Schizosaccharomyces pombe: one gene and its partners. Changing the gene in region 1 together with any one later gene gives a genetic interaction. Each region holds a gene or a part of one and is shown in the gene's direction. Other genes may lie near its edges.

Region 1 (8,236 bases):
ACGTATAGTAAAAATTGTGTTATATTCCTCTTTGAATCAATATCTGAATGTTCAAATTAAGTAAAATTAGCTATTACTTATATGGTTGAAGCATCACTATGATATTTCACATAATTAAATAGTTCGACAGTAAACCCCAAAAACTATTGGAATTTACGAATAGACTTGTATGAATTTTTCATTACTCTTAGCAAAAAAGTTTTACCAATTTACTCTACATTTCGTAAGTACTGTTGTAGTTGAAACTTCTGATTTTTACCACAACAACCAAGGCACAACCTTTGTCTTAGTCCCCAAATACAACTCCAACCCTAAATAGTGATTTAAAGATGATGTCCTTTGGCTCTTTTGTTTACATAGCATGTCTTTTGTAAGTTGGGGATCTTTGAATTACTTAGCTTATACTTTTTACAGGCTGAATGGTGCCAATATGCTTCTTCAGATCTTTTGTGTCATCATGTTTAGTGTAAGATAATTATGCAAATAGAAAAGTAGTTGAAATGCTAACTTAATTATTTCAGGATTTAGAGATGGACTATATTAACCCTATTGATTTGTGCAACAAGTTGAATGATCTTGTAATGCCCGAAATCATATCTCATACATTAGTAACACTATTACTTCTTCTTGGAAAAAAATGGCTTTTGTTCTTGGCAAACCTGCCGTTATTGGTATTCCATGCCAATCAAGTCATTCATAAAACTCATATCCTTGACGCTACAGAAATTTTTCGCCAATTGGGTCGCCATAAACGTGACAACTTTATTAAAGTTACCTTTTATCTTATAATGTTTTTTACTTTACTTTACTGGTAAGTTTTCGCTATTCTTTGGAGCAAATGCTCTTGTTGTTTTAGCGGCACTATTTTTTATAATGTACTAACGGATAATAGTATGGTCATGTCCTTAATTCAAGAAGAATAATGTTAAAAATCTTGGAGAGGAAATTCTAAAGCCAATGCAAAAAAAAAGGATACTGTTTTCTTTCTTAATAGTTACATGATTGAATGACATTAATTATTAGACATTAGGTAATGAACTTTCGACTACTTCGTTGCAAACAGCTGATAATGAGGGAAAAGCTCATTTAGTCAAGCTTATTAGAAATTTTCTCAAGTAATCATTGGACTGTAAAAGTATTTGGAAATTTCATACTTTGAACTATTCGCCCAACGTATTCCTTGATTTCTAAATAATATATGAAGATAATATTTCTCTTATTTCTTCAAGTTCATCTTGATCAACAAATGAAACAAAGCGACGATTCAAAGATTTTGTAAGACCTTGAATGTGTGAATTAATTTGACCGTCATTCGTAGCTTCCACAAAAACAGTATCCAATGTGCGCAACCCTTCTGGAACTGTCTCTAAGCTCGGCAATCCTAAATTTTGTATGTTTACTATTTTCGATATGCTACTTGCGTTATAATTTTTTCCTTCTAGTAATCCTTGATTATCTTTGGGGCTGCGTACGACTCCAAATAAACAATTGTTTTGCTGACTGTAATCTTGAGCAACATTAACAAAGGAGGCACTACTCACTAGTGCCCATTCTTTAGACGAGTAATTTTTTGCTTTAAAGTTCAAATTATGGATAAAACCTCTTCCTTCTGATTGTAGCTTTGATTCGATATCTTTCATTCTGTAGCAGGAAGACCCGTAAACCCTTGTGGGCAATGTAAAGGACTCAATAGCCAAATTAATTTTTGCGGAGGAAGCCCAAAGGTCATCACCTTGTGATATTGTACACAAAGGGAAGTACTGAGAACAAGATCCGTTGAGCTGAGATAACGAAAGTGCTTCATTTAGTTTTCCGAAATGATTATCAATAGTTGCGGATGAATCTGACTGAATCGGCTCTCGAATCCCATAGACCCAAGTGGGAACACGACATTCTCCTAGCTCATCTTGAACTACTTTCATGTATTCGCTCGCAAATCCACCCCACGGAGTGTCTATGTCTATTGCTGCTTGAAACCCTTGGACGCTATCACATTCTTCAACAAGCGGCCTCAATCCTTCATCCCATACATTGAATTGCTTATCAAAATCATGAAACCTTTCTACACCGAGTTGAAATGAAAAGTCCGATGAATTCAGTTCCGAACAGTTTACTGGAAATAAATACTCAGTATCTAAAAATAACCGATTGAAATCTGACCAATATTTAACGCTTTTTGGACGAATAGAAGGAAGTTCATATTCTGATTCTATTGCGTTTCCCTCATGGATCTCATCTCGACTCCAAAGTGCTTCTTGGTACGGATGCACATCGACTGGAGTCTGCATAATCTGCGTGAGTTTACCATCCCATGCTGTACCTTTTCCTCCTGATGACTCATTTAACTCCTCTAACCAGTTTTTTCTAGTATTTCCAAACTCAATTGGAGTATCATATATGCACTCACGAGGAACCGTAACAATAGCTTCTGGATCACGCTTTTTCAGTACACGGAAATTGGTGTTTACATTAACCTTTGCATGATCGTTCGGATCGTATACAAAATAAGACTCTTGAGTGTTCCAAAAATGCGTCCAACAGAAGTTGCTCTTTCTTCCAAATGTAACTGTTAATATTTCATGCATCGAATATGCAAATGCCTAATAGATTGTTAAATGTATTTTGTAAAAAATGTATATACATGTATTTTCTAAATATCTAAACAATACTTGAGATAGATTTCGTAACCATAACCCTAGTTATTAGAAAATTGGTGTGAGTTAGTTATACCGTTACTAGCTTCTGTCTACCTAACCAACGCCAGTGAGAAACTGCTGCTGGGGAATGTCAAACTAACGTAAGAGTGAAGTTTCAGTACATGCTACTGTTATTTCTAAGCATCCTTTTTTAATTTTGCAATTCAAAGCTTTGTTTTCTGTGTAGAAGCATAGCATAAAGACTGAACCTGTAGAAATTAGTTACCGCGTAATGCGTTCTTAGATGCTTCATTTTTTATTTCATTCAGGATCTTCATCAAATAGAAACTCATCGCCGAAAGAATCCTATGAGCTTCTTCATGGTTTGGACAAACAATATCAAAGTACTAAGGATGTAACGTTTCGTCTTGTCCTCGTTCAAGACATCGGAGACCGAAAAAAAACTGTTTTGTTTGACTCTAATCATGTGGATGGTCAGAAAGGAGATAGTGTGCTTAGGGACTCGGCAAATGCTCCACTTACTGATCTGATGTTTGGAGCAATTCCTATCTCCCATAAAGGAACTACCACAAAGTTGCATATTCTTCATCCCCCTAATCCTGCCACAAGGTCTTATATGCTTACTCAATTATTTCAAATCAACACACATGGTACAGTAGTCAATTCTAGTCACGAAACGATTGCATCTGCTACTTCATTATTTGAAAATAGTAGTTCGAACTTTTCTGAAGACCCTAATAAACCCAACTCAAGCGATGCCTTTGAATCGAATAAAGAAGACAGTCCATTATTAAAGTCTTTTAATGATAGCGCTATCCCTGAGAATGCAGCAAATTTATCTTCTTCTTCTAAAAACATGAAAGATTCTACTTTAAGCAGTCAAAAAGCTCGTTCGAATACAAGTTCTTCCTTTTTAACACCTTTGCATGAGCAACTGGAAAGTCGCTGTGCCTTACATACAGCTGCTAAGGATCCTTTTCGATCTAAAAATTCGCTCCGGTGTAACAGGGGGCATTCCCCTCTTTCCTCCCAACAAATTTTGCCTGCAATTTCAAACAATACCTCAGAAAAGCCTGATTCCAATAATTGTGGTTTTCTTCTTCCTTCAAACTCAACATCAATAAAGGATTTAAAAAACGTAAAGAAAGGAAACAGGTTAAATAGTCCTCCGTTTATTACTATTCCTCAATCCATCAAAAACACGAATTCTAATTTTCTGCTTTCTTCACCTTCACTTTTTAGCGATACTCGCACTCGTCCAGCTTCGTATGCTTTAGCTCTTATCATTACTGTACCTTATGAATATGACGAAATTGTTCATCCTGTCAGTACTTATTATACTATGCTATCAAATTTTACGCTTTCTTTGCAGAAAGAAATAGATGAACGAATTCGCAATCTTTTGTTTGTTTCACTTAGCAGTGGGGGGGATAACAAAAATGATACAGGAATTCCATTAATTCAGTCTTCATCCTCAAAAGTAGGTTTCGGACCATATGCTCTTAGCAAAGATTTGATTACAGCTAAGAGTTTCCACAAATGCATATTGTTACTGAAAACTGGGTTTTCGGCACCATTGATTAAGCCTTCAGTATTTAGTGGCAGCAAATGGGTGGAAAACATGCGATTGTTAACCGACTTGTGTAAATCTCCAGCCCAGAAGTGCTTGTTTAGCAATTTACTAACAGCTACTCGAAAATTCTGTTTGGAACGCCAAAAAGATGATGTTACTTTTAAAGTGTTATTACAGTCTAGCAAAGCACCAATAGCTCGACGTTTTTTATATCTACTAGCTCCATTAATGCGACCGTCAATTGCGCAATGTTCCGATACGCTTCTTAATCCTATTCAATTATATCCCAACTCTGGAATACTCTCATCATCTAGTCTTTCTACTTCATTTGGTTGTCCTTCTGTCTCTGGCTCTTTACGAGTACCTTCCTATGATATGAAGATAAATGATTCTTGCAAAGCTATAGATATTCATTCAGAGAAACCATCGTTTGCTGATTCTCCTAGGAAAACGTCATTACGAAATTATTTGAGTAGCAGCTGGCGATTAAAATTTATGCGTAGTAGTTACCAAAATAATGAGACGGATCCGCTTAATCCAACTTCTGGTTCTTTTTTAAGACAACCAATGCAGTATAGTTCACCCTCGGGTGTTTCGGAAAGTGCAGCGAGTAGTTTTTTGGATATAGAAAATATCGATGAATATTTGGAAAGCGCTGAGAATATGAAATATTTACCAAGGTCAACTGTAGGACCAGGAGGTATGCTCCATGTGGATCTTTTGGAAACGAATGCTAAACAGGAATCTGAGGCAACTACTTCCACCGTTCCTCCGTCTCCTTCGCAGGTGGGATTTTTGAAAGCCTTACATCCTTCTTTTGACTTGCAAGCTGCCCCCCCGAATTCATATGTATCGTTTTCTGATGATGATTTTATTTCCGCGACATTGTTATATATGCTAGAAGACGTTTCACGCAACAAATCCCAATTGCTTGCTGAGAAAAAGCATTTAAAGTCGCAGCTCATGGTTGCTAATCTTGATACGTATTCTCTCGATTGTTACGAAATACACGAGTTTCCTAGCGAGTGGGAAAATGATTATGCGCCTTTCTTGCTTAAAGAACATCACAAAGTCATTGGCGAAACTTACGTATCATCTTTTGACATTCAACAAGGCTGCTTCAATGTTATTAAAAGGCGTTTATCATCATATAAATGGGACAAATCTGATGACTCCTTCGTAAGCGAAGTTTTGAAAGGCGATTTGAAAGAAGTTTTGAGGGTGTGTTCTCATTGCTAACTTAGTATATGTAAACAAGAATTTTACACTATTCAATATATAAGTTGTCAGTAGAAATGAAATAATCCTAGAATTTTATAAATTTTGATTTGACAAATTTCATTTTTTTTCCTGCATTTAGTGGTTCCGGTTGAACATTGCTCAGTAATAAATTATGTGATCAAAAAGTGATTGTTATAAATTATGTTTAAATATAGCATTTATTTACTAAAAGGTTGAAAAATTATCTGTTAGTTATTTACCGTTGGGCAGAAAACTCTAAAACACATGGCATGCATCCTTCATTCAAAAGAAAGAAATGAACGTTAACAAACTAAATTTTATGGTTGTTTTTTGAAATTATTCAAAATTTTCTACGTTAATGACACCAGCTTTTCTATTTCGAGGTTTCTCGTTAACCATTTAAGTATTTCCATGTTTATCATACCGTGCAGTTATCCTTTTCCAACCACCCACCAACAAATATTGTATTTGAATATTGTCTGTATCATTCGTTTAAGTGTTTTCAATATTAGTTCAAAAGAAATACAGACTTAATGATGTCTTATGAGCCAGCTGAGCCTGTCCCCGTGGAAGAACAGCCAATCTTGGAGAAATTGATAGGCATCCGTCAACGCCTAGCTGTTTTGAAACGAGATCGTACGAGATTCATTGAGAAAAATGAGGTTTTTCATCTGAAAGATGAATTAGTGGAACAGAGTATGTAATTCGCTAATATTTGTGTCAAATTATGGATGCATATGGATGAATGAATGGTCATCTGTGGGATAAATATTTGGCTCAAAATTTTGAAATTTAAACAAATTTTTGCTAACTAAGTTTCATTATAGTGAATTTATTGGACTCTAGACGATCGACGAATAGCACTCGAACTATTGTTGATTCACAGTTAGAAGATTGTTTGCACCTATTATCTTTATTTTATCTAGCGATTGGACGTAACAACGACTTGCCTGCTTTTTTCGTACAATTGGGAACTGTTAGAAGGCTTTTAGAGTATAATTTAGAAGGTGCCTGCTATACGCAGAATGACCTTAAGCCTCTCAAAGAAAGGTTGGAACGAATTAGGGCTGCAATCGTTGAGGGATCTAAAAAAGAGGATGCTTCTCCAGTTGTTGTAAAATACCTGAATAACAAACTTGCTGTTTGTGATAGAAATTATAGTGAAGCCCAACATAACATTTCAAAGATTTCACCAGAGCTTATAGGTATTCAAACTCGTTTGGTTTCTATTCATCGTCAAATTGATGGTTTTGCCGTTCGTCCTACATCTGACCCTGGATTTATTGACCGGACAATGGAACAATTGAAGGAAATTGAAGAAATGAAGGATTCTAATGGGATGTTTTGTGACGCTGACCATGTTCCCTTACAAGGTCAAGAGCTGTGTAACGGTATACTTGAAGAATGCTTTAGTTTTCTTGAGGATGCCAAAACTAAGGAAGGTTTGTCTGATGAAATGAAATCAAGTCCTAAGTTACAACAAATTTACCACCGTCTCGACGAGTTGCTTAACAAACTAAAACATCTTACACTTACTCATCGCTGGACTTTACGTGAGACTGAGTACGTTTTTCTTTAGTTTTTTTTTATCGAAGAAACCTTTTGCTAACGGATTTTAGTCTTTACGTTTATCGTGCTTCTCTAGCGGAAATTGACTCAATGCGTATTGATGGTCAATTTTTGGACGAACAAGGCAATGCGCCTGCTGGCCAAAGGGTAAGGAGTTATGCAGAAGTTATATGAAATCTCAGCTAATTGATATGTTAGATTCTTTTATATTTACTACGCCGTTGTTATGCTTACATATACCAATTACTTTCTAGCAGTGAACCAGTGTCAGAAGAGCTTATGGCCGTACATAATCAACTTCGAACTGTTAAACGCTGCTTACTTGAAGTTCAGAGAAGCGGAGGTATTTGCTCGGAAAGAGATTTGTATCCCTACCAAATGAAGTTGGCCTCATTAGAGAATCTTAGGGTGAACGGAAAGTTTTTGGCTTCCGACCATTCCGTACCCGAAGGACAAGAGCTTGTGAACTCGCTTTTGACTCAGTGTCATCAATTAATCGAGGAACTTCGCGATGAAAAGCATCAACATGATATAGAGGAACGAGAAGGATCTGAGAACACGGATGGAAACTTATAAACGACTTTTCTTTCAGACACAACTGTATTGAGTTAATGCCTATAAAAGTCATAACCTTCCGTTAACTTTTATGAAGTATTAATAAATGTGCTGGGAGTGTTTCTGTGCGCATTATAACCTTCGGTTAAACTTAAATGAGTCAGATTTGAAAATTTCATTTATAAAATTTCATCTCTTTTTTTTTTCACCACCACACCTTAAATACTAGTCAGCTTCTTAAAACTATGACAGCGATTTTTTATGAATTTTCGAAGCCTCTTATTTGAATACCGGTTTGGTGCTTTGAATTGCAAGCAATGGCTGTTTGATTTTTTTCAAAAAGGGTTGAGGCTATTGGAACTGTGATTTGTCCGAGAATTCAAGCACTGTTGTCATTGTCGGTGAATTTTGAAGCGATACGCGATATTTATTTTTTTTCATTATTATACAATAAAAGGCTTAAGATACAAACTAATTTATGTGAAGACATAAAGAATAAAAGTATTATGAATCATTTTGAAAACTGGTTTGTTTTAAACACTCGCTGCGTATACTTGAACAATACGTGACAATAAGTAGTAATTTTCATAATACGACAAACCGTATTGAGACATGGAAGACATGGAAGTTCTCATTTAGT
Region 2 (6,637 bases), on another chromosome or scaffold:
ATAAAAACCATTATGAGAGAGATTTTAGAAGGAAGAAGAAAGCAGGAAAGTAATTATTATTGACAACGAGTGTCACTTGTGGGTATCTACCTCTACATGTCGTTTTTAAATATTATAGGATATACACTCAAACATGCGCCTTGCTTCTTTACAACCAAGCAATTACTCGTACTTCATAAACTGCTAGTAGACGCAAGCATATTTAAACATTCAGCAGGAACCTGTCTTTTCAGGAAAGCGAAAACGAGTTTAAAATGTTTGTATATAGAATGTGTGATGATTACCAGCTTACCCTCTTTTTTGAGATACGAAATCACGCTTCAGAACTCTGGTTAAATTACTCGCGTCTTTGCAGCTATATAAAATTTGGTTTGCCAATGTCTCTAGCAGTTTAATATTCCTTCTATTTTAAAGGATTTGTTGTTTGGAGGAAATGCAAGTAAATTCACGAATTATATTAATATGATACAAAGGACGCAAAGCTTCTTAATATAGCGATACAGAAAGCAGTTATTAAATGCAAAAAGTTGATTTAATTAACTCAATCTTCGGGAACAAAATTTGGATTTGATTCAAAAAAGCCTCACCTCTTAAGGAAATAATGCTGTTGCAAGATTTCACTAGACTCACGACTGATTAAACAACGCCTACACAACAGATAAAGTTATAAACTGACGCAGCACTGAATGTTCAATAACAATAAAAAAACCACAACATAAACACAAGTTCTAATTTGTTCATGTTTTAAAGGCAACTTTTAGGAATAACGCATGCCGATTTCATTAAAGATAAACAGCCTAAAGTTACCTAAAAACCGAAGAGGCAGGCTTTAAGATACGCGTAAAGAATATTAGTTTTGTTCCAAAAACCCAATTAAAATTTTTATGAAAGTAAACAACACGAGAATAGGTATAGATGTGAATTAAAGAAAATGAAACAAAACAAAGGACAAGGAAGTATGTCTCAAAGACTATTGCTTAAAAATAATAACTGTTTGAATAAGTTCGATAGCCAAGGCGGTTTAATTCTTCGCAATTAGGTAAACGCAATTCTTTAGCCTTCTTCAGTGCCTCTTTATCAGGAAAGAACCATCCTTGAGCTCTTCGAATTTCGTCTTCTTTAATTTGTTGCTCGCGCAAACAAGCATTATGGACGTTTTGAGTATACGTATGCTCGACTTTTTCGTTGAGTCTTCTTATATCTCTTGAACTTAGCTTATCCAAATCCTTTTGGCTCATATAGTATGGAATGTTATGCTTGGCAGTAGTACGAGGAACAGTGTATTTATAGTTTTGTTGAAATGAATAGCGCGTATTAACCGACGTACTATCTGACCAACTAAAGTTGGACAAAAAGGCAAAAAGGATTACCACTATCAAAGGTAGCAACTGATAAAATATGCTCTTTGGGGGCATGTCCTGGGCCTGCTGACGACGTGCAAAATTCCTTGGACGGCCGCCAAACTGATGAACTCGAATGCCAGGTCCACCACCGAAGAAAAATGTTCCTGGACCTGAAAAGAACTGGTCACCAAAGAAAGAATTGAACAAATCTTCGGGAGACATATTCGCTTGAGGATAAGCAGAAAATCCAGGATGGCCTCCTGCGTTACTACTAAAAGAGCTGCTCGCAGCAGAGGCGCGAGATTCAGGATCCATTCCTGTACGGTCGTAGTGTGCTCGTAGATTAGGGTCTGATAAAACCTGAAAGGCTTTTGAAACCACTATAAAAAAGTTAGGATACAAAAAAAAACCTTAAAAATTATTAGCTAAAAAATGAAGACGTACTTTTAAATGCTTCGTCAGCACTAGGTGCGTGATTTTTGTCTGGATGGAGCTGTAATGCTAATTTTTTATAAGACTTTTTGATTTCTGTATCAGTGCAGGTTTTCTTTAAATCCAATATTTCATAGTACTGGTGATTTTTGTACTTTATGATTTTCTGGACCAACAAATGTTGTTCGCTTGTCCACTTCTGTTTCTTTTCACCAGCAGAGCTATTCCCATTTTCCCGCACCGACTGTTTTTCAGAAAAAAAGTTACTCTTGTTTTCTTGCTTAGGAGTTGCCTGAGGATTTGGAGAACCTGTAAGCTTTTGCTTTTCTATTTGTTTCACAAAATCTTCGCCCTCAGTGGTAGCATGAATTCGCAAAGATTTATTAGCAAATTTTAAAGCCTTATCATATTCTCCGGCATTTAAATACTTTCTTGCAAGTCCAATGCATCTACACGTAACATGTGTTAGTAATAAAATCTCACGCAATCCTCATTATTCGTACCTAAGGGCTTCTTCTCTACTAGATTCCATTTTGGTGATATGAAAGAAGGAAATTAAGTCCAAGTTTGATGAGAGAACCAAAGTTTCAAGTGCCTTCAATCTCTGCCAACTTTGTACTTGGATGGATCGATGCTACCAGAAACCCTTTAAACCAAGTAACATATCGAAGGTCAAGTGGCTTAAGTAACATGCACTTTTGAATCAATCCAAACACCAAAAACAGGAATAAAAGGGAAAACTAATTGATATATTTAAAATAATTCAAAAAGAGCATTTTTTGGTTTTGGTTGTTTGCCAAGCGAAATAATTAGAGTAATTGGAAAAGTTAAGTGTTTTTCATGTTTTTATGTTTCTTTCGGTTTCAAAGTGGTAAATCAGAAACTTAATAATAGAATGAGCAACAAAAGTGCATGGCAACCTCAGTTTGATGAAATTCACTCATCCGTTCAAGAAGCAGAAGGGTTTTTACAGTCTAGCAACGATGTACAGAAAGCTATAGACGAGGTGCATTATCCTGACAGCCTCAATGACTTGTCGGAAATATCAAAAAATTTGTATATTAGTAGTTGGAAAACGGCGTCAGAGCTAGTGTCTACTTCAGACAAAGGGATCGATTATACATTAAGCGCTATGAGTATTAATCCCAATTTGTCGGTTCCTGAACAACAACACCTTTGGTTGCAAATTGAAGACTCTAGTTCTCAAAATATTCTGCAATACTTCGAAAAGTCAAATAAATTCATCGCTTTTGCACTATCTAAAAATGCCAAAGTTTTGGTTCACTGCTTTGCGGGCATATCAAGGTCCGTAACCTTAGTGGCTGCATACTTGATGAAGGAAAACAATTGGAATACTGAGGAAGCACTCTCCCATATTAATGAAAGGCGCTCTGGAATATCTCCTAATGCTAATTTTCTTCGTCAACTTCGCGTATACTTTGAGTGTAATTACCAACTTGATCGAAGTTTGCGCCCATACCGCCAATGGCTGTTCAGAAGATATGGTGATTTCGCGGTGTTGAATACTAGGGTACCATCTGAAGTCGCTTACGCTGAGACTGTCCGTGCCCGTGCAGGACAATTAGAGCTTCGCTGTAAAAAATGTCGGTTTGTCCTTGCCAGCTCTGATTATCTGGTATCGCATGAACCGAAAGATGAAAATAATTATTCTCATACAAGATGTACTCATTACTTTTTGGAACCTATTCGCTGGATGCAGCCAGAATTGGAGTTGGGAAATTTGGAAGGTCGATTTGATTGTCCAAAATGCAATTCTAAAATTGGTTCTTATAAATGGCAAGGTTTACAATGCAGTTGTCTTCAATGGGTTTGTCCAGCTTTAAGTATTTTACAGTCGCGTGTAGACGCTGTTAGGAAACTCGGTTGATTTTTTTTTCTGCGTGTGTGAATCATCCACTTGCTTCAAAGTTAATGTATATTAGGAAGATCGCTCTAGGTTTTCAAATCATCTATGTTTATTACAAAAAAATGGTTTATCTTAAAACATTGGTTGCTTTTCCAGAGTTGTCGATGAGATCTTGTAATTAAAGTACTAACCAGTTCTGAATACTTATTTTTTAATAAAAACTCTATACTATCATTGGCCTGAGAAAAGTATTTCCATCTGTTCAATGGCAAAGTCTAAGGAATTCTTCTAATCTAATTATCACTTTATGGAGGTATTGCTTACTTTTGAAGATGACTAATATTGCCATAAAATTTCCTAATATTATCATAACGAATTCATGGTAAAGACGTCTTACCCTTACCTTCCGTTGGTTTATAACAGTATTCAACTTCTTCATTACCTATATACACGAAGTATTAAAACTAGAATGGCACCTATTTCAAAGGTCTTTGATTACCTGGTAATTGGTGGTGGAAGTGGTAAGTACAATTCGATACTTTCGGGATTTGATGGGTTAACATTTATGAATATTAGGCGGTTTGGCTTCGGCTCGTCGTGCTGCCAAACATGGAGCCAAGGTTGCTTTAATTGAGGCATCTGGGCGCCTTGGAGGCACATGTGTAAATTATGGATGTGTACCCAAAAAGATTATGTGGAATATTGCTGATCTCGTCGCAAAGATGAAAACAGCAAAGCAAAATGGATTCCCTAACAGTCAGTTAGGTAGTTTTGACTGGGGAATGATTAAACGTAAACGTGATGCATACATTGGACGTCTCAATGGAATTTATGAAAGAAATGTTAATAAGGATGGTGTGGCTTATATTTCTGGTCACGCTAGCTTTGTATCACCTACTGAGGTTGCTGTCGATATGAATGATGGTTCGGGAACTCAGGTTTTCAGCGCAAAATATATCCTTATAGCTGTTGGTGGTCATCCTATTTGGCCTTCGCATATTCCAGGAGCGGAATATGGTATAGATAGTGACGGGTTCTTTGAGCTTGAAAGCCAACCTAAGCGCGTTGCTATCGTTGGTGCTGGTTATATTGCCGTTGAACTTGCTGGTGTATTTGCTGCTCTAGGAACAGAGACTCATATGTTTATTCGCCAAAGCAAATTTTTACGTAAATTCGATCCTATTATCAGTGATGGAATTATGGATCATTTCCAACATATTGGCATCAATGTCCATACGAACTCTTTAGAATTCAAAAAGGTTGAGAAGCTTCCTTCTGGCGAATTGTGTATTCATCAACAAGATGGATCTACCTTTAATGTTGATACCCTACTTTGGGCAATTGGTCGTGCCCCTAAAATCCAAGGTTTGCGTTTAGAAAAGGCAGGTGTTAAGACACTCCCTAATGGTATCATTATTGCTGATACATATCAACGCACTAACGTTCCCACTGTCCTTTCCTTAGGTGACGTTTGTGGTAAATTAGAATTGACCCCCGTTGCTATTGCTGCTGGTCGTCGTTTGTCTGATAGGCTTTTTGGAGGCATTAAGGATGCTCATTTGGATTACGAGGAAGTTCCCTCTGTTGTTTTCGCTCATCCTGAAGCTGGAACTATAGGTCTTACAGAACAGGAAGCCATCGACAAGTACGGTGAAAGTCAAATTAAGGTATACAACACTAAATTCAACGGTCTTAATTACTCAATGGTTGAGCAAGAAGACAAGGTCCCCACTACTTACAAGTTAGTTTGTGCCGGTCCTCTTCAAAAAGTGGTTGGCCTACATTTAGTTGGAGATTTTTCTGCTGAAATTTTGCAGGGCTTTGGTGTAGCCATAAAGATGGGTGCAACAAAATCAGATTTTGATAGTTGTGTTGCCATTCATCCTACTTCTGCTGAAGAACTAGTTACTTTAGTTTAAATTTTGTCTTTTATTTATCCTTTGTTTTGACAGGTTTTCTCACTTCTGGTTTCTTAAATAGAATTAAAATTATGAGTACTTTTATTTAACATCAGATTTATTTGCAAATTAATTGTTCAAAACTTATATGTAATTGTAATAAAGCTATTTCTATTGCTAAAATACCTATATTTGCTTCTGCAATAAAACTGATAAGAAACTAAATATTTTTTTGATTTCCTACATGTCTAACCCAGCAGTATATATGAATGCAGTTTAAGCTCAACTCTCACATTTTAAACCTCTAGAGGAAAAAAACAAAAAAAAAAGATCTCTACCTATGGCATCAATTAGGCAAGCATTTGTAAAAAGGTAAGTAGTTTCGGTATAAAGAAAGATAATGTAGACTTACGATATGAGCTGCAGTTTGCGATTTTATGACATTGGATACAACGCAACAGATCCTGTTTTTCGAGGTATTTATCATGAAAAACTAAAACATCCTGATGATTTTGATTCCATAATTTCTCGAGCGAAAGCTGTGGGAGTAGAAAAAATGATGATTACCGGCGACAATGTCGAAAACTCTGAAGAAGCCCTGAATTTAGCTACAAACTATGGTAAGTATATCTCACAATTCATTTCTTATTTTATTTTACTAGTATAAAAATTGCTTAAACTGTTTACTACTCAACTCATTCGCTTGTGGCATTTTTGTAAACTCTTGTCCTTTTCCTCAAAGTGTTGAAATGAGCCTAATCCAAATTTTTTTATCAGCCTACTAATAAATTACAGAATGTTTCACTAGTACCGTGGGCGTGCATCCATGTCAGGCACAATGCTTTCTAAGGCACTCTGAGGGTCCTGAAGATTATCTAGTAAAACTAGAAGCATTGGCTAATAAGGGCAAAGCTTCAGGAAAAGTAGTTGCTTTTGGTGAATTTGGTCTTGATTATGATAGATTACATTATGCGCCTGCTGATGTTCAAAAGATGTAAGTATTATTTTATATGGTTCGGTCCAATATGATACTTAAAAACTAACAAAAAATTGAATTAGGTATTTTGAAGAACAATTAAAAGTTGCTGTTCGAGTCC
Region 3 (7,114 bases), on another chromosome or scaffold:
CATCTGAAGAACAGCGGAATGAGCACGTCCTGAAAAAATGGGAAAATAACGTTTTAAGACATTGGAAAATTCTTTTTTCTCTTTTTATGCAAACTTGTGGTGATAGTGTACAAGGAAATGCTGCCTTCTCAATCCTCAATTTCATGACTACTAATAGTTTAGTGGGACAACTATATCAGCGACTATATGATGAGTCTAATTCATTGGGCTTTATAAGTAGCCCTTTGAACGAGACAGAACATTTGTCGGAAGAAAATTTAAAAATCGAAAGCAGTATTACCTTCACTAGTGAAGAAATTGAGAAGGAAAAAGAAAATATTAAATCTGTATTACTTCCTTCAGTGCAATCTATTTCTTCTTCTTTAGAATTGTATGCGTCTAAAGAATCTGATTATAGAAGCTCAATTGAAGGTGTATTAGCTGACTTGAAGTTAGCGCGTGCCCGTTGGGAAATCGTTAGAAACGTGACACAAATACTTTTGCTCGAATCCGGCATTAGTTTCCTAGAGAACAAAAAACTTGCATATATCATGGATCTATGTGGTGATCGTGAAGACAATTATAGTTCCTATTAAAAGTCTTTATTTTGTTTGTGAACGAAAAATTTGGTATGTTTTTATGAATGTTATAAGCCCAGTGATGCTTTTTTGAATTTCTTCAACGGAGCCGTTTGTCTTATTGACATGCGATGTGGGACGATATTTGACATACTGAGGGCCAATCATTCATTTTTCTGACTTCATAATTTTTCTTACTAACCTTTAGAGTAAATGAATTCTTTATTATGAATATTTTTAATAAAAGCTCCTTTTTTACTCTTTGTAAAAATTTTAGAAACTAGAATACATAAAATTTTATTTAAAGGTACTCTAACAACAATAACGGATGTAAAGGAGAAAATTGGCGAAACCGTAAAAATAATAGATTTCTCTACAAAATGAAGTAGGGTTGGGCGTTATCGGTAAACTGAATCAAGCGGACAAACCACCGTTGTTTTTTTAAAAAAGGAAGGCTTATAATAGTCGGAGGTTTTTGGAATGAGACAATATAGAGGCGCTGATGTCAATTGTGAACATCATCAAAGGTATACTAATATATAGTAAATAGATTGTGAACAATCAAAAATTTTGCGAGCTCAGTAATTCTTTCTCCACAGTCGCAAGAAAACTGGCATCTGCTAATGTATAAAAAGTCAAGAGTCAATAGTATATACAAATCAGTTATAATTTAAAAACCGTATGGACAACAGACACTTAATTATTTTGCTTTTTAGAAGTAGTCACTTCTTTTGAACGACCGTCAAAAGCACCACGGTTACCTTTGCGAAAATTCCTTTTCATTCCATTATAATTATCGTTGGACTTCTTATCTCCCGATTTGTTGAATTTACCGGAAAAAAGACGGCGTCGTTCTTCTATGTTCAGCGTGGCATTGTTAATTTGCAAAGTTTTTTTGTTCAAAGCCAATTGCACGCATTCATGGTTGACAAAATCAACATATGCGGTGCCTTTGCGACGAGCAAACTCAATAGCCTTGACTGGTCCAAAAATGCTCATAGCAGATTTCAATGACACATCAGATGTTTCGGGAGGAATGTTCTTGACGAATACAGATGTCTCCAACAGTTCATTACTCTGAGTGTACGGCGCTGTTGGCTGCTGAGTTTGGTCAGCATTAACACCTTTAACTGTTTGACCAGTTGTAGACGCAGTAGAACTAACTGATGCTTGGGATTTCACATCAGGATGATTACGAGCTATGAGATCAGCCCAAGATTTAGGTGCTGTAGCAACATTTGCATCGCTAGCCCCTATAGCATCAGCATTCTTCGAGTTTGAAGTCAGAGCTTCATCTTGAAGCTGATTTTCCTGCTGAGAAACAAAACTTGGGACTGAGGCTTCCGTAACTTGGATAACGGGTTCTTCAGGAACAGCCAAAGTAGCTTGATTTAGACTGTCGGTCTCATTTGATATAAGAGCGGCTGTGGCAAAATTATTTTCTGTAGCAGCTGGATCCTGGTAATGGCCTTCTTCTTTTGCAGAAGGTAAATGTTCTTGAGATTGCACGCCATTTACGTAAGGTTCAGAAGCAACATCTTTTTTCTCTTTTTCAACAGCATCAGGTGACTCCTCTTCTTCCTCAACATCTTCACGCAAAAAACGGAAAATATCGTTTAAAACAAAATAACCATTTGGTTGTTCTGCAAGGAAAAATGTTTGAGCAAATTTTCTGGATAATTTCCCCTTATTAGACATTTCACCCAGGACCTGGATGACAATGCCACCATTCGAAGAAGCCAAACTGTCAACGTTTGAAATAAGTACTTTGCAATTTTGAAAGTCCAAGTCCAATATCTTGTTATGAATTTCCTAACACGTTAATAAAATGACTATTGGGCAAGACAACGATCATAGAGTTTCGAAAATCGCAAGCAGAATATCACAACCTCAAAAACTTTACATATAAGAATTGTGTTAAAGCATACCTGTTGTCCATGACAAAGACTAATACTCTCGCCTTCGTCTCCGTGAATTAAAGTTGACTTTTTAGTATAGAAACACTGTATTACAGTTAGTACGGTTCACAAGTTGAAGAAAAAAAAACTTTTGGTAAATTATGACGACCTACATGAAGACGATTGGGTTCTTTATTTAAATATGTATAATATTCTTGAACGAACATCCATCCTATCTCATCCTTTCCCAAAACTGGTTCTAATAATGTGGCATTTTCCGCAGTCATGTTTTATTTAACTGTGACAATAGCTATACAAAGAACAGAAAATCTGGCTCTAAAAGACCCAAAACAAAATTCGGTCGTGTCTTATGTTTTCCGTGCGTTGGTCTTTTTAATGTCCCATCTCCTTGCTTTCAATGTCCGTGATTACAGCATTTCGTAATTGGATTTAACGAGACTAAACGATATTTCTGTTGATCTTTTACATTCAACTTGTTCGCATAAGTAAGTTAGTTGATGGAAAGAGAGACCTTTTGGTCAGAAAATTGTTTGGTTTTTCATTTCAACAAATAACATAAACATCATATGATTTACCATAGATCAAAGTTGCATATATTTCTTTCTATTATTGTTTTGCAAATTGATTATATTAGAAACGTTAATTCATTGGAAACCACTAAACATTTTGAATAGTAATACGACTATATACTGTGCTAGAGAGATTAACCTGCTAATGATTTTGCCAAAAGTCAATTAGTTTAACAGCTTTAAATGCAATCGTCTAGAAAAATTATGATACTAAAAAGAAAGTATGCGAGCCTTTAAATCATTTAATTAACGAAAATTGAAATTACTTTCTTCTTCTTATTTACCAGCATTAAAGGGTTAAAATCTAGTGCTATAATTGCAACGTATCTTACTTTAAATAAATTATTTATTGATAAATTTTGTAAGACTCAGGAAAGTACCTATCCTATCCATTTTGTTCACTGCCATTTTGGTGGCATTAAGAAGTTTCACTCGCATTGCCAGTTATCCTCCTCCTACACCAATTCAGGTCAAAAAAGTTTCAAATCCTTTAATAGTCTTCGTTTTATAGTATTAAAATCCAAAACTTGTCTGTTAAGGTATAAACTTCTGATAAAGACATTTTGTTGCATTACTTATTCGAAAATTGAAAATTTGTCAAATACTAGAATGGCAAGATTGACTGCCCCAAGCAAAGGTCCTTCATTTTCAAATTTAAACAAACCAAATGATTTGTTGAAAGCGGAAATTGAAGATAATGAAGCCTCACACTACTCTCAAAATCAATCATCTGACAGTGATTCTGATGAAGCACCTGAAGAAGTTTCGCTGAAGAGCAGCAGCGATGAGGTAAAAAAGAGACTTCAACGTCTGAAAGGGAATGAATTACAGTAAGTTTTAATAAACGGAATGAGGGAAACACTTAAAAATACTATTTGTTTTGGTTTGAGACAGAATAATAATTTGTTTGATAAAAGTTCGACTGCTCATTTCGTTTCCTTGCTTTTGATAGTATTATTTTTAACACATTTTAGGCTTCGAAAAGCTGAAAGAGAAAAACGTAGACTGCAAAATGAAAGAAATCGTGAAAGAAATGCCCAACGGGTAAGCGCATCAAAGTTGGATTTGGCTATTCTTGAGGCAGCTGAAGTTGAAGAAATTAATAGTACCACGGAAATCGAAGAAAAGGTTGACGAAGCAAGCCTTGACCTATATACTCCAAAAGGACATAAAATTGTTTTTCCTAATAACGAAATTCCTAAAAAACGTACTCGTTCATTTCGTAAAGGTGATTTTAAAGTGAGCGTTCTTAAAGAAACAAATGACCCTTTACTAGCGCCGAACTATGAAAAGAAACTGTCACAGCGTAAACGGGATTGGATAAATCGACAATCAGTTCCCCGGGCGTCTAAAAGACGACGTCCCTTGACTTATTAATTTTCCTTTCTCTATTTGGCAACACATTCGCTGTAAATTGAAAGTCAGGCACAAGCATTGCATTTTCTGTTAATATAAGGGTTTACTTTTTTGTTTATTAATAATATTGGTTGGGAAAAGGTTGTCTGGGTTCTAAAACATTCATTATTTGAAGCTTTGGACATGCTAAGTGCAGTTTACGGCTGTTTTTTTGGTAAATGTTTAACATAGTATTTTTAAAAATAAACACTTTAGACAAACATGAGTTAATTAAAGTTGTATCAAGGATTTATTGCCATGCACTAGAGGAAATTCGCTCATGTAACGTTTCGTACATCATAGATATTATAGATATCAGTAGCTATAGCTCATAAGGCCAAAATTTGCATAAATATATTATTAATTGTCTAGTGTATGAACATTTACTACTTATAATTATAAAATATTTGCATATAAATTTCTGAGATGGTTTGTACTTTCGACTACTTGCACTAGGCAAACTTCGCTTTTTAGCACCACAAAAATTTTGTCACTTCAAAGCATTGTTGACCTTCACCTCTGCAGCCATGTCGGCCCAGGATGTCGAAAACGCAGTAGAAGCAGCATTAGATCCTTCTGTAGGACCAATAATAAAGCAACAAGCTACAGATTTTATTGGTAGCCTTAGAAGCTCATCTACAGGTTGGAAAATATGCCATGAAATTTTTAGTGAAAAAACGAAATATAAACCATCAACAAGACTGATTTGCCTTCAAACTCTTAGTGAGAAAGTTAGAGAATGGAACAATGAAAGCAATTTGTTAGAGTTACAGATGATAAGAGACAGTGTTTGGTCTTATATTAAGGAATTAAGCTTTTTGGATGAACCAGCTTATATTAGTAATGCTGTACAACATTTATTGACATTATTGTTTCTTCAACTATATCCAAGCAACTGGAATGATTTTTTTGCTTCACTCCAAGGCGTTATTGCGGCGTCGTCTCAATCTGAGTTTTCAAATTTTTATTTGAAGGTTTTACTTTCCATCGGCGATGAGATTGCTGATTCATTGGTTTTAAAGACAGATGTTCAAATTCAAAAAGATAATTTAGTAAAAGATGCAATTAGGGCAAATGATATGTCTGATATCGTTTCATTCGTCTATGAAATGATGTTGGCCTATAGTAATGCTAAAAACTATGGCACGGTTGGATTGTGCCTTCAAGTATATGCACAGTGGGTATCTTGGATCAATATAAATTTGATAGTTAATGAACCGTGTATGAACTTGTTATACTCTTTCCTTCAAATTGAAGAATTACGTTGCGCTGCATGCGAGACAATGACCGAAATTGTGAATAAGAAAATGAAGCCACTTGAGAAACTTAATCTGCTCAATATTCTTAACCTGAATTTGTTCTTTTCAAAGTCGCAGGAACAATCCACTGATCCTAACTTCGACGAACATGTCGCCAAGTTAATAAATGCACAGGGTGTTGAACTTGTCGCTATAAAATCCGATCCTTCAGAACTTAGTCCAGAGTTGAAAGAAAATTGCTCATTTCAGCTCTACAATCTTTTTCCATACCTTATCAGATATCTTTCTGATGATTATGATGAAACCTCGACAGCAGTTTTCCCCTTTTTGTCCGACTTACTTGTCTCACTTAGGAAAGAATCTTCTTCCAAAGAACTTAGTGCTTCTTTAAAAGAATTTCTTAAATCTCTGCTAGAAGCTATTATAAAGAAAATGAAATATGATGAATCACAGGAGTGGGATGACGATCCTGATAGCGAGGAAGAGGCCGAATTCCAAGAAATGCGTAAAAAATTAAAGATTTTTCAAGATACCATTAACTCTATTGATTCTAGTCTATTTTCTTCGTACATGTATTCTGCTATAACTTCTAGTTTATCTACTGCTGCTACATTATCTCCTGAAAATTCATGGCAGCTTATTGAGTTTGCGCTATATGAAACCTATATTTTTGGTGAAGGATTGCGGGGTCCCGATGCATTTTTTAATGAAGTTGATAAATCTCCGACTGTTCTTTCTCAAATACTAGCATTAGTTACCACTTCACAAGTTTGCCGACATCCTCATCCGTTAGTTCAGCTTCTGTACATGGAAATATTAGTACGATACGCTAGTTTCTTCGATTACGAATCTGCGGCTATTCCCGCTTTAATAGAATACTTTGTTGGGCCCAGAGGAATACATAACACAAATGAACGTGTTCGTCCAAGAGCATGGTATCTGTTTTATCGATTTGTTAAAAGCATTAAGAAACAAGTTGTAAATTATACTGAATCATCTCTCGCCATGCTTGGTGATCTATTAAATATAAGTGTTTCTCCCGTTACTGATATGGATGCGCCAGTACCGACATTAAATTCCTCCATAAGAAATAGTGATTTTAACTCTCAGCTCTATTTATTTGAGACTGTTGGTGTCTTAATTTCTTCAGGTAACTTAACTCCAGAAGAACAAGCTCTTTACTGTGATTCACTTATAAATGCACTTATCGGAAAAGCAAATGCTGCTCTTTCCAGTGATTTGTCGGCTTTAGAGAACATTATTTCCGTTTATTGTTCGCTGATGGCTATCGGTAATTTTGCTAAAGGATTTCCTGCCCGTGGTTCTGAGGAAGTCGCTTGGCTTGCTAGTTTCAATAAGGCATCAGATGAGATATTTTTGATTTTAGACAGAATGGGATTTAATGAAGATATCCG
Region 4 (7,775 bases), 3.6 Mb from region 1:
AAGACATGATTCAACAACTTCTTACCAACGGCCTTATTTCCTCTACCGTTGACAATGACACCTACTTTGGTCAATGTTTTGCCTGTGCCGTTGTTAAGCGTACTTTGGAGCGTAACAACATCACTGCTAGCCCCGAGTGCCAACAATGCTACTATAACTACTGCTGGAGCGGTCTTTATGATGACAGCGCTGCTAATGATGATATTGTCTACAATCCTACTTGCCGTCTTGGTGAAGGCATTTAAGGAAAGGCGCATGCAAACTTTTCTCTCTTCAGTATTTATACGACATATCTGTTGCTCACAAGCAAAAGATAGAGGGCAATGCTTATGCCTGGAAAAAAGTTTTTAAAAAAAATCTATACAATGTCTGCTGTCTTAGCATAAATCAAACCTAGCCATATATGTGAATCAATCCAATTACGCGATATGGGTTTTTGTTAACGGATTATTAAACTGAACGTTCACTCCGCTCTAATTAGGGAGACTATTTTGTTATCTTCCGAAAGTATTTTATTCTAATTTACCCTCTCTTCGGAATGTTTTTTGTTCATTTTCTATTGTGAGCTTTCGTTTGCTGTAATTCAGTTTTGTTGACGGCTCCAAATTGGACGTGTTCTAGTTGTTTATGAGAGTTGCTGTTATATATAGTTGCGAAAATAAGTCATTTTTTTAATTCTTGGTTGTAATAAGAATGTTGTTTGTCTATATAAATAAGTTGACTGTAATTTTTTTGTTTTGTTTGATTCAAAAAATTATTATTTATATGTATATATTTTGTATGATAAAATTTGATTTTTAAAGGTTTGCTATACTTGAACAAGGAATAGTGAACTTTAACATACAGCCTATAATTCATTAATTAGGATGAGGAAGGAGATGTAGAAATGAAAAAATTTAGTTAACGTAAAACAGATTATACGATCATTTACAAATTATATCAACTGTACGCAATTTAATCAATGAAGTAGTGGGGATGTAGATGAGACAGTATAGAATACATCACAACGAGTAATGGGAGAAAAAAATTGTAGTAGTTGCGCGGGTTTTGCTCGGCCTCGGGCTTTACTTTCTAATCCGATGACTGTGAGTTACGTGTTTTGCAAAATTATTTAGCAAGTGTGCATTTTATGCTTTAAGTCTAAACGAAATGGGATCCGAGTTAACTTTAAGTTGAGGCTTTGCTTTTGATATAGGTATGCGCATGCGATTTACAAAAATCTAATCGAACAGAAGTAAGTATGTGTGTATGATAATAACATTTTGATAAATAAAGAAAACTGGCTAAACATATATTATGTAGAATTGAAAGAGCATAATTACAAGAAGAAAGACACTTGAAGATATGTTGTGATGTCATTAGATGTAGCGACTTTACAAACATGAAACTATGAGGAAAAAAAGAGTTACTGAGAGAGATTGATGATATTTTATATACACCATGACTCCAAAGATTGAAGGAAGTTAATAAATAAACATTGTGATTCATATTTTAATCAATTATGTAAAATGCGGCCAGTTGTAATGTAATGCGACTAATTTGATGCCAGTAATGTGTGTTAAATAATAGTCAAGGACAATCTGCAAGTTCCTTAGAAAGGTCCGGTTTCGAAGAGGCACACTTAATATCCGAGGGCGGCGCAGTTGAAATAACCAGCCCGGTTGAACGCTACATTCTCCTATACTTAACCTGCAAATGTTTCCGTCGTTAAGGATTTTAGATATATAGCTTAGCAACATTCATCCCAATGTGAACTTTAAAGCAGTCATAGTTGACCAGAAGATGAGCAACAAATTCAACGTAAAGGCTTGCGTCTCAGCGACTGCTCAAAATATAGATTTACACAACAACTTTACATATTAAGCGATATTTAAAGGACCGACAGTCTCGGTCTCTTTTCGCATAGAACGGAAGGGCATTTACATCATGGGGATGTAAATGGACCTTTTTTGATCTACAAAATGGGAATCTAAAAAATCTGTCAAAGATAGACATATGTGTCTCTGCTTACATATATATACATATATATATAGGCTGAATCACTTTCAACTTGCCTTTTCCCAATATTAAAATTATCGCACAAGTCGCTACTTTAGCTACTACTAACTTTTAGGGTAAGAAAGTGTAAGGGGGGATTTGCTTGGAGACTAGGCATGAGCTTGTATTTAATTGGAATAAAAGAAAAAGAATAGGAATTCATGAATTTGTTGAATGAAATTGCAAAACTGCAAGTCATTTGTATGAAACATAAAGCAGATGAATCCCAGGTTTTCGGTTACGATGCGACGTTTGCCGATGAACAGAAATGGTAAATGGTTTCGCATTTGATTCCGCAATACCGCAAACAGAAAATTTTATAAACCATGGAATTGTCAAGCGTTTCGCCAAATTCAAGAGCAAAATCCAGTGTTTATCTTAACATTGAGACGCTATGCTTTTTAATAAAAATCAATAACTTTGGATACTAACTTGTCATTTATTTAGACACAAATTACAATAATCAGATCCTCATATACCGGAGCAGAAATAACAGCACGGTAAGCAGATACAGTGATACAGTAAGAGCTGCGTTGGAATACGGGTGAATTTCAGCTATAAGGAGTTTTAAAATTTTTACGTAGTAGGGCGCTTTTGGTTTAATTTGTTTCACCATCCGTTTACAAATATTCCGTTGTTGTGTTGTTTTCGTTCACAAGAAAATTGTTTGAGGGTATAGTCAATTTTCTAAACTTTTGTGGGTCTAGAGAGACAGTCGTTGATTCCATCGTTTGTTTTGAGCGCGTTTTTGTAACGGCCTTCTAATCTCTGAGTTCAAGCAAAGCGGTGTGTAGATTTTGGCATAATTTCCCAAATTTATTGACCTAAAGACGGTTTAACTATAAAAAAAAAAGACAATGTTATTTAATTGTTTTGGAATACTCGCTCTGCTCCAGATCCTGCCGGCCTTGGCGTACCCGCCTTGTCGCGAGCAAATGTCGGATCCGTATGAGTTTGGGGAATCTGACTTAATGAGACCGGGCATGCATGACACGCCTCTTTCATTAATGCAAAAACGAGAGGCTTTGGCGATTTCGCTTTCCAAGCGCGACAGTGTTGGATCATACGCGCCTTATAATGTAACTTGTCCTAGTGACTATATGCTACGACCTGCTTCTGACGGAATAAGTTCAGGCGAGCAAAGTTTCATTGATAAACGTATCCCCAAAATCAATACACAAATGAGGTCCTTTATTTCCAACACTGGTTTGGACGTAGATGTAAACTCTGTGATTAATGATTCAGATGGCCCTCGTTTAGGACTTGCATTTTCTGGCGGTGGACTCCGCGCTATGGTCCACGGAGGAGGTGTTTTAAATGCTTTCGATTCTCGAAATGGCAATGGTTCTTCACTTGCTGGAATTCTTCAATCCGCCATGTATATCGCTGGTCTTTCTGGTGGTTCATGGCTGGTCGGTTCCGTAGCTGTTAATAACTTTGCCAATATTACTTATCTACGTGACAACGTTTGGAATTTGGAACATAGTGTCTTTGCTCCTCATGGTGACAATGTTGTCGAAAATCTTGCTTATTATGACGACCTGGATGATGAGATTGATCAAAAGAAAGATGCAGGATTCGATACTTCTTTGACCGATCTTTGGGGACGCGCTTTATCTCGTAAGCTTGTCGATGCTACCCAAGGTGGTCCAAATATCACATTTTCTAGCATTAGAAACCAAACTTGGTTCCAAAATGCCGACTATCCTTATCCCATCATTATATCTGACAGTCGTTTGGAAGAGGAAAAAGCTATCCCTGCCAACACCAGTATATTCGAATTTACTCCATACGAGTTTGGTACTTGGGACAATGGTATTAAAGCTTTTCTCCCTATGGAATACGTCGGTACCCATTTAAAGAATGGTGTTCCACCAGACCATAAGTGCATTCGTAACTATGATAATGCCGGTTTTGTTATGGGTACTTCAGCTACATTGTTCAACACGTTTCTGTTAGAATGGAGTCAGGAAGTAACGTCAAATAGTACTCTCTATGATATTATTCATAAAGTATTTGAAAAACTTTCTGAGGATCAAAATGACATCGCTCCTTACCCCAATCCTTATCAGAATTTCACGACTACAAACACCACCGTCAAAAACCCTTTTGAGCGATTCGATACTATTGATTTAGTAGATGGTGGTGAAGACGATGAGAACATTCCTATTTGGCCTTTGTTACATCCTCAAAGATTTGTTGACGTTATATTTGCTGTTGACGCAACTTATGATGATTCTAATGGTTGGCCTGATGGCTCTTCTATTGTTACTACATATGAAAGGATTATAACTTATAACGCCAATAAAAGTGTTGATGTTCGAGGTTTCCCGTATATCCCTGATGAGGACACAATCATTTCCTTGGGACTGAACACTCATCCAACATTCTTTGGATGTGACGGCAGAAACACTACTGCAGGTAATCATACCGTAGATAACAATACACCTCCTCTTCTTGTTTATTTCCCCAATTATCCTTGGGTTTACTATTCCAATATTTCCACGTTTACCATGTCTATGAATGACACTTTGTCCAGTGGCATTCTTGAAAATGCTGCTCTATCGGCTACTCAAAACAACAGCGATTCATTTGCAGTCTGTTTGGCATGCGCCATGATACAACGTTCCTTGGAGCGCAAAAATATGTCTACTCCTAGTCAATGCTCTTCTTGTTTTGAACAATACTGCTGGAATGGAACAACCGTGAACAACCCTAGTGCCGTTTCAAACTATGCTCCTACTGTGTTATCTGCATCAACCACTTCTGGTACCTCTTCTGTACGAGCCAAACCTATAGTATTTTATTTATTTGCTTCGCTTCTAACAGTTTCGTTACTATTATAGACGACGAAAGCCTCCCCCACTCACACACCTTGGTATGAGTCACTTTTCGACTTGAAAGAATTAAAAAGCATAGACTGAGTCAGGCTTTTATTTATTAATTGTAAGGTATTAATCACTACCAAACTTGTGGGGTTCAAAGGTTTTGTAGTTTTAGTGTTAGTGTTAGTGAATTCATTTTAAGTTTTCGAAGCACAATGTTTCTTTTCTCTAATGAAGATGTTTAGTTTAGTTAATTTAGGAAGATCGCTTTTATTTTTAAATATACAGACAATTAATTTTAATAATGATTGTGCAATTTTATAGATATCAAAGCTGTTTTGAATTATAAACCGTCAAAAAAGTCAGTTCCTAAAGGCTTTTTCCCTTGATTTCCCACCTTTTTCTTTTTCTTAGGACTCGAGAATTCAGAGTCGCTGCTGGAATCTTCATCACTATCTAAATTATCAGAGGAGGATGACTCATCTCCTTCCTTCTGATCAACCGGCCAGAAAGCTAGTTCGGTTCCACTACAGGAAACTAAAAAATTGCCTTCGGTAGTAACATCCACAGCGTCTACGGTTGATCGCGAAGAGTGTTGCCCTATAATTCTTTCGTATTTGTTTGGAAGAATGTGTAACAAACGTATACATCCGTCGCTTCCGCCAACATACAGACTGTCAGAATCAGCACGAGTTATTGTTTCTATTGAAAAATCATGGGACCGAATTGGCGATAAAATGCGATCGGTATGATCCCCCCAATCACCCTTTGTAAATAAAGTTATAACTCCACTGGCAGTACCAACAGCAAATTTCTTTTTTGAATGCTGATCCCGTGTAAAAGCTCCACAGGTCATTTCTTCGTCTTGTTCTTCACTCAATATTGGTTTTTTGAAATTACGAGCATCGATTACTGACAAAACTCCATCACCACTAGTAGCAACGAAGTATCGTTCTTCAAATGGGCTAATAGAAGATATATAGTCAATATGATCATTATGGGTATGGATAATGCCTCCCTCGGTGCGCTTATCCCAAACAGAAACACAACCATTATCATCACCTGTAGCAAAGACCATATCATTCTCAATCCATTGAACCACACTATAAGGAGAAATCTCCTTATTCTTATCCACTATCCATTTTGAACTCACTCTCCCCGTTGAGGTATCGGCGATTTTTAAAACACCATCTGAACCTACAGAAATGAATTCGGTACCTGATTCATTTACTGAAATATTTCTGCAGCTTTTTTTATGTCTTTTGGTACTCCATTGCTCGACCAAACTTATTTGTGCGACATCATATTGATAGCTACTAACTCTGCCGTTTGAAAAACCCAGTAACACTTGATTTTCACCGAAACAAGCTAAGTCGAATATTTCATTTTCAAATTTTTGTTTTATAGCAGCATTTATTGTTCCACCCATTAGGTTGTTTAGGACAAGTAGGCTGTGATTAGAGCTGGGCAATCCACCTCTCAGCACCCATTGCCCTGTAGCAAATTTGCATACCCTAGAATCGCGAATACTATTACACTACCAACTTGATATTGTTTTGGAAAATTTACATAAAGCATATAAAATTTTATTTGTACGAACTTCTTGAACTCATTTAAATAATTCAATAGTATTTTTTACTTGGGGATTCTTTATTCAAAGACTTTATTCGAAATCGTTAAACTACGAATTCTTTTAGAAAGTTAGACATGGAAAAATGGACGAAGGAGAACGTACTGAAAATTTTGCCAGTCGACGATGAGAGTGCCGCAATGATAACAAGCACTGCTTTAGCAGTCGATTCTTCCGAAGCCGCAAAAGATTATTGGATTTCTTTACTGGGGGATTCTGCTGAGACTATAGAATTCATTAGTGACTTCAATCAAAAAAGATTTCACTCTACGCATTCTGGTAATTCTCCATCGATCATGAAAAACAAGAAGAATGTGACACCAAATAATAATATTCGGCAAAAAAATACTGCCACATCTTCTCATCCAAGTTTCTATATCGCTAACAATAAGCAAAAAGGATATGATGAAGAAATGTATAAAGTCAATCCTGCTTCGAGGAATAAATCACAATCAAACAATATTTCATCACATGAAAAATCTAGCAAAACTACGAAAAATGTCTCTCCAGGCGTAATGACTTCTGACCTTATTCCGGAAAAGAAAAGTGTAAAACATAATAACTCTTCTTCTAACAGAATTGAAGGTCTCGCCGACATCGAAAAAGCTATACGTCAAATAGAGATATCTCAAAATATAAATAAAGCAGAAAGAAGAGTCTGCAATTGTCAAGGACGTAAGCATCCGCTTAATGAGGCGGCTCCCAATTGTTTGAATTGTGGAAAAATAATTTGCATTGTTGAGGGGATTGGGCCTTGGTAAGTAATATTACTACTATATCTTATTAACAAGTTTTTACTAATCTTAATTAGCACCTTTTGTGATAATCCTGTCATTAGCAAAGCTCAACAGTTGGAATTAATTCAAGAGTTGAAGCATGAGGGAAGCCGCTTAAAGCAAGCTGCCAATCAAAAACGAAAAAGCAAAACCGTTTCTAGTAAAAATAATTTTCAAAGGTTGCAAAATTCCTCCTTGCATTCAATTTTTCTCGATCCTAAACAACTAGAGCAAAAAGCTCAGGAGGCTGAAGAAAGAAAAAATGTCTTATTAAATTTTGATAGAACCTCTGCTCAACGAACTCGTATTATCGACGAAGCTGCTGATTTTGATCCTACTTCGCTAGCTTCTGATACTTGGGCATCTCCAGCTGAGAAAGCTTTAAATCTTGTTAGAATGCAAAAGGCCATGGCTAAAAAGGAAAAGAAAAAAAAGAAGGTATTGTCGATTAGTCTTTCAGGAAAAAAAGTTGTAGTCGATCAAAAGGAAGCATCTTCTGAAAGTTCT

Evidence for each region.
Region 2: mutations in fnp1 (region 1) and SPOM_SPBC17A3.06 together harm fitness more than expected from each alone (negative genetic interaction), as found in Schizosaccharomyces pombe (one large-scale study listed by BioGRID).
Region 3: mutations in fnp1 (region 1) and utp16 together harm fitness more than expected from each alone (negative genetic interaction), as found in Schizosaccharomyces pombe (one large-scale study listed by BioGRID).
Region 4: mutations in fnp1 (region 1) and plb3 together harm fitness less than expected from each alone (positive genetic interaction), as found in Schizosaccharomyces pombe (one large-scale study listed by BioGRID).

The regions. Positions count from the first base shown.
Region 1 is NC_003424.3:4,639,555-4,647,790, forward strand, and holds fnp1 (folliculin complex subunit fnp1), read left to right. Parts: upstream 1-2,752; 5' UTR 2,753-2,940; coding exon 2,941-5,469; 3' UTR 5,470-5,623; downstream 5,624-8,236. Other genes in the region: cornichon family protein Erv14, read left to right, coding at 330-370, 415-466, 522-811, 893-923; GTPase dml1, read right to left, coding at 1,188-2,585; SPOM_SPAC30C2.08 (uncharacterized protein), read left to right, coding at 6,006-6,168, 6,300-7,035, 7,092-7,188, 7,240-7,617.
Region 2 is NC_003423.3:1,410,385-1,417,021, forward strand, and holds SPOM_SPBC17A3.06 (phosphoprotein phosphatase), read left to right. Parts: upstream 1-2,480; 5' UTR 2,481-2,670; coding exon 2,671-3,663; downstream 3,664-6,637. Other genes in the region: SPOM_SPBC17A3.05C (J domain-containing protein), read right to left, coding at 978-1,723, 1,788-2,224, 2,279-2,307; mitochondrial glutathione reductase Pgr1, read left to right, coding at 4,112-4,163, 4,219-5,561; SPOM_SPBC17A3.08 (deoxyribonuclease Tat-D), read left to right, coding at 5,881-5,912, 5,967-6,160, 6,336-6,534, 6,600-6,637. UniProt on the Schizosaccharomyces pombe protein: May be directly involved in signal transduction and/or cell cycle regulation. It is necessary for maintaining growth rate or spore germination. Could show both activity toward tyrosine-protein phosphate as well as with serine-protein phosphate.
Region 3 is NC_003423.3:3,647,935-3,655,048, reverse strand, and holds utp16 (U3 snoRNP-associated protein Utp16), read left to right. Parts: upstream 1-3,228; coding exon 3,229-3,266; intron 3,267-3,311; exon of another isoform or gene 3,312-3,332; coding exon 3,333-3,875; exon of another isoform or gene 3,876-4,019; coding exon 4,020-4,422; 3' UTR 4,423-4,688; downstream 4,689-7,114. Other genes in the region: CENP-H-like protein Fta3, read left to right, coding at 1-575; ubiquitin protease cofactor Nxt3, read right to left, coding at 1,254-2,369, 2,486-2,560, 2,629-2,742; karyopherin exportin-T Los1, read left to right, coding at 4,968-7,114. UniProt on the Schizosaccharomyces pombe protein: Functions as part of the small subunit (SSU) processome, first precursor of the small eukaryotic ribosomal subunit that coordinates the first two steps of ribosome biogenesis in transcription of the primary transcript pre-RNA and pre-18S processing.
Region 4 is NC_003424.3:1,067,247-1,075,021, reverse strand, and holds plb3 (lysophospholipase Plb3), read left to right. Parts: upstream 1-2,659; 5' UTR 2,660-2,894; coding exon 2,895-4,883; 3' UTR 4,884-5,099; downstream 5,100-7,775. Other genes in the region: plb1 (lysophospholipase 1), read left to right, coding at 1-245; SPOM_SPAC1A6.11 (uncharacterized protein), read right to left, coding at 1,168-1,488; wdr55 (WD repeat-containing protein), read right to left, coding at 5,206-6,291; transcription coactivator Rqt4, read left to right, coding at 6,570-7,249, 7,304-7,775.